2 linked regions of the Oryza sativa Japonica Group genome follow. The protein of the gene in region 2 interacts with the protein of the main gene of each other region in a pairwise test. Links are inferred from orthologs where the notes say so. Each region holds a gene or a part of one and is shown on either strand. Other genes may lie near its edges.

Region 1 (4,017 bases), on a different chromosome or scaffold from region 2:
ATATACCCGATTCAAATTTGAATTTGAATTATATCCGATTCAAATTTGAATTTGAATTCAAATATCCGATTCAAATTTGAATTTGAATTCAAATATTTTTCATATATATTATTTCTATACATCTAAAGTTTATACACCTAAAGTTAAGTTTATAGACCTAAAGTTTATAGAACTAAAGTTTATATACCCGATTCAAATTTGAATTTGAATTATATCCGATTCAAATTTAAATTTGAATTCAAATATTTTCTATATACATCTAAAGTTTATACACCTAAAGTTTATAGATCCAATGTTTATAAGTCAAAAGTTTACATACCCGATTCAAATTCAAATTGAATTCAAATTTAAATTTTAATTCAAATTTGAATTTGAATTTGAATTTGAATTTGAATTCAAATTTTTTATATATAGTATTTCTATACATAAATTTTTCTAACTATTTGTTTTTTAAAATTTTTTTATGGTTTAATATGTTGTAGGAAGAGAAGAAGGAGAGGAGGAAGGGAAGAAGCGTATAGGGAGAGGCGGAGCGAACCCCCCCTCCCCCCCTCCCCTCTCTGTGAAGGGTCTGAAGGGATATGTACGTACGAAATCTGTATAGAGAAATTAAAAGTCTTGGTTTATTACAACACAAATGTGCATTCCTTACACCAACACATTTCTCACTCACAAATTTACACATCAAAACTAATTAAACCATAGCGCACGCCTTCGCGTTCTCCCGCTCGTTGAACGTATGTACGTCGCCGGTGCTCACCGGCGGCGAGTTCACGTCCGGACCGGCATGCGGACGCGGCCGGGGTGATACCGTGCCGCGCCGCCGCCGGTGGTCTTGACGTTCACCTCCGGCCGGACCATCCGGACGGGAGTTGGCCCGACGCTCACAGCCTTCTCGCACCGGCAGCTGCTCAAGAACCCGCCGCCTTTCTTGCGGGCGGCGCTGCGCGACATGGCGGCGGTGAAGCCCTCGTGGCCGCCGCCGCCAGCGGTGGCGGCGGAGTCAGGCGGCGGGACGAAGCTGAACTCCTCGACGCAGCAGGCGGACGCCGCGCTGGAGAAGTTGGCGACGCTGGCCGCGTCGAACGCGCCGCCCTCCGCCGTGGCCACGCTCCACACCACGCTCACCTCGCTCGGCGCGTACATGCACTCGCTCAGCGCCGGCTCGACGGCGGCGGCGGCCGCGGCCGCGGCGCCGTACGGAAGGTCTTCGTCGTCGTCGTCGTCCTCCCGCGAGTTGCGCCGGCTGCTGCGCCCGCGGCACGTGGTCGGGAACGACGACGACGCCGCGAAGCTCTCGAGGTCGAACAGGTCCGAGCTCGCGTCGCTCATTGCCTCCTCGTCGGTCGCCACCGCCGCCACCCCTGGGGCGCGCGCGAAGCCTGCGGCGAGGCCTCCTCCTCCTCCTCCGCGGCCGCCCACCGTCGCCAGGTGATCGGCCGGTGGGTCGGCGAGCACCGACTCCTCGTCTATGGGCCGGAACACCTCGAGCGACTCGCGCGGCGGCTCGTCGCCAACGGTGCTCACCACCTTCGCCGCGCCGACGGCCACCGGGAACGTGAAGCCGCCGGAGCTCACGACGCGGCGGCCAACAATGTCCGGCGCCGGGAAAGCGGCGAACGGCGCCGCGCCACCGCCGCCGCCGCCCCTGTTCGGCGCCGCCGCGAAGATACTGTTCGCGAGGGGAGGAGGAAACGTGCTGCTCCCCGGAGATATCTTCATCTTGACGGGCTCCTCCTCGCATGGCGGTGGCGGCGGCGGCGCATTCGCTTTAAAGATCGTGCTGTCGGCGACGACATGGCTGTTTTCAAACCTCGCGTGGGTTCTCGGCGTCGCCGGGCTCCTCGGCTCGGAGGCGACGTCGACGGTGACCGCCTTCCTGCCGGCGCAGGGGCAGTCACGAGAGAACAGCCCCCACCGCTGGCCGGAGCCGGGCTTCTTGCCGCGGTGAGCGCTTGCGGCGGCGGCGGCGGCGCCGCCGCCGCCATTGGCACCACCCATCTGGAGCTTAGCAGCAGCACCCGCCGACGCGGCGGACTGGGCGTGGCCGGAGAGCAGCCCGGAGCGGCTGGTCCAGCTCGCCTCCGATGAGCACGCCACGGTGCGTCCGCTCTGGCTGGCCGCATCCACGGCCACCTCCTGCCGCGGCTGCTCCTCGTCGCGGTACTCCTCCTTCTTGACGACGTCGTCTGCGTTGAAGTAGCGCTCGGCGGAGAAGATGTCGAGCTCGGCGCCACCGCCGCCGGCGACACCGCGTGGCAGGCGGCGGGGCCCATCGCCGTGATCACCGCCGGCGGCGGCGGCGGCGGAGAGGTAGACAGGTCGCGGCGCGACCCTGTACCTGTCCATGGAAGGAGACCACTTGTTGCAAACTCTTTTATCGCGTGTGAGTGAGTGAGAGGTGAGGTGAGGTGAGGTGAGGCGGGATGGAGGATTTGTAGGAGGAGGCGAGCGGGTGGAGCCACGGGAGCACAGGCTGTCGCGGAGGGCGACGTACGGCGACGGCGAGGCGAGCGGAGACGAAGGCTGGTCGAGCACTCGAGCACGCTTCGCGTCAGTGGGCAAGCGGGAGCGGCATGAGTGTGTCCGCGTCGCTCGCGCGATCTAATTCCTTATACTCCTTCCGTTTCATATTATCATACTTTTTTTTACATTGCTCATATTCATATGAATATTAATAAATTTAGATATAATATGGAACAGAGGAAGTATTAAAAAAGAGAACATTTTAAAAATATCATCGACAAGCGTATCAATCGAAGAAGAATCATTGACAAACCCATCTTTCCGATAATGATATTGTACAAGTGTCTTTGTGCTAGACATATCACTGCCGGTAGGTTTCCGTTAGCGGTACTTGTTAACCGCTATAAAAGATCATTTCACCCTAAGAATTGTTAAAAGCTAATTAAAATTTATGTTCAATTTGGGGAAGCACCCGTGGTGTGGTGGTGGAGTTGTGAGTGCATGACTTCACCCAATATGGTTTAAATCCTGGTGTCCACGAATATTACGCACATGTAGGTGGATTTTCAACCAGACTTTAGTGAGATTAGGGACGTGCCGCTGGTTTTCATTTCTTAAAGTACGTGTCATGTGTCTCAAAATTTTTTTATTAGCTTAGACTAGTTTGTACTCCCTCCGTCCCATAATATAAATGATTTTGAGTTTTTGCTTGTACTGTTTGACCACTCGTCTTATTAAAAAATTTGTGCAAATATAAAAAATGATAAGTTATGCTTAAAGTACTTTGGATAATAAAGTAAGTAAAAAAAAAATAATTTTAAAATTTTTTGAATAAAAGACGAGGGATAAAACAGTGCAAACAAAAACTTAAAATCCCTTATATTATGTGATGGAGGGAGCAGTGGATTGCTTTTTTATATTTTCTCTAAAAGAAATTGTGTGTGGTTGACGTCGCGCGAGCGAAGGAGTGCGGCGGGCGCGGTACAACGATGTACGTGAGTCCCCCGCGCGGGCGGACGACACCGGCGGCGGCCAATCGGTTTTCCTCCGTTGCGGTGCACTGGGCTCTGCGTTTACAGCGTTGCACTTCGGCCAGGACCGATCAGTCCAAGGCTAATGCGCCATACAACCTGCTATTATCACGTTGTGCTGCTGCAAATAATTAAAATATATATTATTTTTTTTTCAGTTTAGAAAACATCCTACGACAGATTTTTAATTTTTCAATTCAGACGAGCACATATGCTTACGAGTACACTCGCTTAACACATATTCCCTTCATACTCGTAAAGTAAGTCGTTTAGGATAATGTTTAAGTCAAACATTGAAAATATAAATCATGAATAACTCTCAAGTTGTTGAGTTTGAAAATATAAAAATTATATGAATGGATTTGTCTTAAAAATACTTTTATAAAAGTATACATATATCACTTTTCAATGAATATTTTTATAGAAACAAGAAGTCAAAGTTGTGTTTTGAAGACCGTGTCAATGTCCTAAACGACTTCCTTTGTGAGTATGGAGGGAGTACTACAAGAGATAAAGTCCA
Region 2 (4,287 bases):
GTCGTCCATCTTGGCTGCCACCCCTGGTCTCCCCCTCGTCTATTAACTGCTGCTACTACTATCTCTTCCTCATACAGACAGAGCTAGTAGCATGTAGTAGTACACTCTATATACTGCAGTACTGATGGCAAAGTAGCAGGTGTAAATTCGATCCAGGAGTAGCATGTACGAGAAGAAGTTTAGATCAAGACGAAGAAGAAGAAGGGACAGACGGGTACCTGTGAGGTGAGGGACTTGACGGCATCTCTGCCGTGAGGCGTGGCCGCGCCACGGGACCCGTCCTCCCCGCCTTCCTTGGAGGAGCACGCGATGCATGCCAGCATCTTCTCTGACCCCCTCTCCCTATCTGCCTCCCTCTCCTCGATCGACGACGACGAGACGGATCAATCAGTAGTCAATCGCTCCCCCCACAATCTCACCTTGTGTATCGAACTGCAAAAGTGTGTGCATTAGCGTTACATATATAGTACTACCACAGTACGGCTATCTATCAGAATTGAAGCCGCTGTAACGAAAGATCAAGTTTGATCAGACATGCCGTCATGTAGACACTACAGCCCACGGCTACAGTTGCATGCATGCATGTGATAGAATGTCTATCCATGAGATGGTCAAACTTTGTCGTTGTTCGCATGGCAATAGTACACTTAGTACATGTATAGTACACATTTCCATGATAATTAAACGAGTGCGAGATTTCGTGTATCCACGCACACGTATGTACGACCAAAATAAATACACGCCGAAAGTACGTACTCCTATCAAGTATCAACAGTGACACTATCAGTCTAGTATCCTCTAGCCATAGCCACAATCTACAATGTACTGTAATAACGTAAAGCGGTTTCCAAGCCGGTGTGTGACGCCATTCTAGTACCACACACCATTTGGACCAGACGTGCCATGCCATCCTTGCATCTCACATGTAAGCACGCGAACACGACATCCGGTACACTATGCGAGCACAGAGCTATCCGGCCGGTCCGTGACCACGCACACGTGCGCATGCGTGTGCGTCGGAGGAGCTGTCCTTCCGGCTCGTTGAGCAACAGAGAGCAATGCAAGCATGCGTATGTACGAGAGATAGCTATAGCTAGGGACTCTGGTCTCTGGAGCTTCAATTCGCCACCGGCGTCAAAACGGGGCAAGCTGGCTGGCTAGCTGGTGCAGTGGAGCACTGGAGCCTGCAGCGACAAAAAAGTATAGCACCAGCATAACAAAGCAAGCAAGACCCATGCCAATGGCAGCATCACAGTCGTTCACAGCTACTCCTGCATGCATGGCATGCATTCGCAGGCTGCTCTAACACAGTGGAAGAAACGCTACGCGGGGCAAAGCAGATCGATCGACGGGCACAGGCACAGAGATTCTTTAATCGCCATGCCACATGACACACACACATATACTACTAGTAAATCAAAACTGAAAAGCAGGTTGTAGTAGTAAAATACGGTCAGCTACATTGCGGCAGGGAAGCTTCTGATGTTTACGCGCACATGGAAATTTATTAACCACCAGTGTGCTATGGCTAGCTAGCTCCGCCCGTTTGTGTATGTGTTGTGCACAGTGTTCATGCAGATGAGGCGCAGCTACCCACGCGAGGTAGGCAGGGGCGTATGGGGAAGACTCCAAACGACACCAACAGCAGTAGCTCGGTGGACGAGGCAGGGAGCCGCTCAGATGTGTATCAGCTACAGTCACTGCAGCTGGGGCCCCACGCCCTCCCCCAGATCAACGTACTGCCTGGACTTTATTTTTTTTTTCCTCCTGCTCCATCCCTACCGAGAAAAATATGGGCCCCGGCTAAAGCGACCGGCTATCGAGTGACTGCATTGTGGAGCCCGGTAGGGTTTTTGCTGATTATCTTTTGCGCTTTTTTAATAGAAACACGACGTGATAACCTTAAACACGGTATTGTGTGTGTTTTCTTTTGGCCGGTGGTAGTAATTTCTTTTGTACAGTAGTAGTATCAGCTAGTAATTAATTAATGTTGCTGTAGAGGGAGAGAGAAATGAGAGGCACAGTGAGAGTGATGAGATGATGCTTACAGGTAACTGACGGCCCCCAGATAGCTACGTTAGCCACAGCTCTCTCTCTCCTCCGAGTTTGCTCGCCGTGTAAACAGTGTGCGTACCCAAACCACCTACGCGCGCGCTGACCGGGTTGCTCCGCCTCCTCTTCCTCTCTCTCCGGCGCCTGAAATGATGCAGACAAAAATGTGCCAAAATAAATATGTATACGCCTAGAAGCGAGAGCGGGATGCAAGGAGAAACGGCCTTTTATTTTTGACACCAAGATAAACGGACTTTGACTTTCTGGTGAACAGAACAGGGTAAGAAACGGCATGCAAGACGAGAAAACAAAACATAGAAAAAGTGTAACTCAACACACACACACACAAAAAAAAAGCAAAGCAAAGATAAGACGAAGCATCAAGCAAGCTGGTTGCGTGCGTCGCCGTCACCACCATTACCTTCTCCTCCACGTCGCCGGTGAGCGAACGAGCGCAATTTGCAGCCCGCCGGTCGGCTTCACCTTCGCCGCCCTTTCGGTTTCGAGCTCTGCCTCTGAATCGACTCAGAAGCCTTTGGAGATAGCACAGAGAGAAAGGCCTCCCTTGTCTGGTCGAGGAGTGGATGCGGCTGCGTCAATGGCGCCAAACACAGCGGCGGCAAAGATATCAGAAGCTACGCAGCGACGCTGTCGCCGCACAGAAACAATCTGGGACTGAGTGGGAGATTCCTCTCGCAGTCGCAGGAGAGAAGAGCCACGAAGCGAGAGAGAGAGATCGAGGTGGGGAGGGAGAGAACACTGCGGGCGTCGCGCTGGGCCGTCGGATCCTTCCCCCATATACGACGAGAGGGCGCCGAGTGCACAGGCAGTGCAAGCCGTCTCGTTTCCGGCCCATATATAGTCCCTCCCCCACGGGACACGCGGCGGTCCCCGCGAGATCGCGGCCGTCCGATCCTGCGCGGCGTGTGGTCATCTCCCTGGTCCTGGGCTGGGCCCCACCTACGGTGATTCGCTGCGGGGCCCGCGAAGGCCCGGGCCCCGGCACGGACCGTGGCGATGACGAACGTGCTGCCGTGGCGCGATCAGGACCGTGCGATGTGATGCATATGCTGACGGGGCTTTGTCATGATCGAGGACCGTCCGATCTTGATGGCGCAAAGTACGTCAGCGTGTGCTTGCAAGCCCAATAGGCGAGTAGCCCATAGCGACTGACGGAGCGTGGGGCTCCTCACCGGGAGACCGCGCTGGTCCCCTTTTGCCGGTTCGGCCGGGGACCCTGGGTGAGACTCTAAGCTCCCAATTTGTGGAAGGTTCGCGAGACAGGAAACACACAAGACGCCGGCGATGTATACAGGTTCGGGCCGCTGAGAAGCGTAATACCCTACTCCTGTGTTTTGGAGGATCTGTGTATGAAGGAGCTACAAAGTATGAGCCAGCCTCTCTCTTGTTCTGGGTTCCCAATCTGGAAAAGTCCAATCATCCCCCCTCTAAGTGGGCAAGGTCCTCCTTTTATATCTTAAGGGGATACCACATGCACCATCTCCCCCTCTCTTTCTTCCAATTTGACTTCTCTTCATTAACAGACGGAGATTTGCATCGCCGCCGTCCGAATGACCTTCTGATGGGACGGCCCATACCTACCTCCACTTCCGCCGGAGGCAGGCGCGACGTGGGAAGATGGCTGTCTGCTGATGACTTGACCATTGTCAGACCGGTCACAAATCGGTCATTCTTGTCCACCACGTGTCAGTTTAACAATCTGCATGTTCGCCCTTCTTCATACAATATCTTGCCTGTAATGGTTAGGATGAAGCCTGGCATATATCTGACCGGAACCAACGTGCCATCTCCAGGAGCTAACACGCCGGCTCCAGCTAGGGACGAGTGCTTGGAGGCTCTCGTCCTGACGGGATGGGGCGAGGCGTGCGTCAGACCGCCTGTCGCCACCTAACCCATGATCTGACCGGTCTGTGACTGGTCACAGACCGGATAAACGAGCGTGCTGTACTGCGATACAGGCGGCGTGACGCGCTCGTCAAAACTGCAATAAATGTGGTTAGGTGAGCCCCGCCATGCTCACCTACCCCATATACGTGGCGCAAAACCCACAAGGGGTCGGGGCGCTTCGGCCCTCGGGGCCGAGACGGGAGCGGCCCGACCCCTTGGGGAGACAAAGAGAAGGGCAGCCGTATCACCCTCGGGCCCGCCCCCCCCCCCCCCCCGAGGGAGTTAGGCCACGTGGGTGATCGTGTCTGCCTCAAGTCTCTAAGTCAT

What was found.
Region 1: the proteins of putative protein Brevis radix-like 3 (region 2) and protein PHYTOCHROME KINASE SUBSTRATE 4 interact in binary tests that used the Arabidopsis thaliana proteins (3 or more experiments, as listed by UniProt). The link is inferred for Oryza sativa Japonica Group from reciprocal best matches to the Arabidopsis thaliana genes BRX and PKS4.

What each region holds. Positions count from the first base shown.
Region 1 is NC_089035.1:9,006,545-9,010,561, reverse strand, and holds protein PHYTOCHROME KINASE SUBSTRATE 4, read right to left. Parts: upstream 2,682-4,017; 5' UTR 2,350-2,681; coding exon 772-2,349; 3' UTR 585-771; downstream 1-584. UniProt on the Arabidopsis thaliana protein: Modulates phytochrome-mediated control of hypocotyl growth orientation. Involved in PHYA and PHYB signaling. Acts as an inhibitor of asymmetric growth. Not involved in the control of leaf flattening.
Region 2 is NC_089038.1:30,808,943-30,813,229, forward strand, and holds the start of putative protein Brevis radix-like 3, read right to left. Parts: upstream 2,881-4,287; 5' UTR 2,474-2,880; intron 2,197-2,473; 5' UTR 2,049-2,196; intron 433-2,048; 5' UTR 324-432; coding exon 219-323; intron 1-218. UniProt on the Arabidopsis thaliana protein: Acts as a regulator of cell proliferation and elongation in the root and shoot. Regulates roots architecture and primary root protophloem differentiation.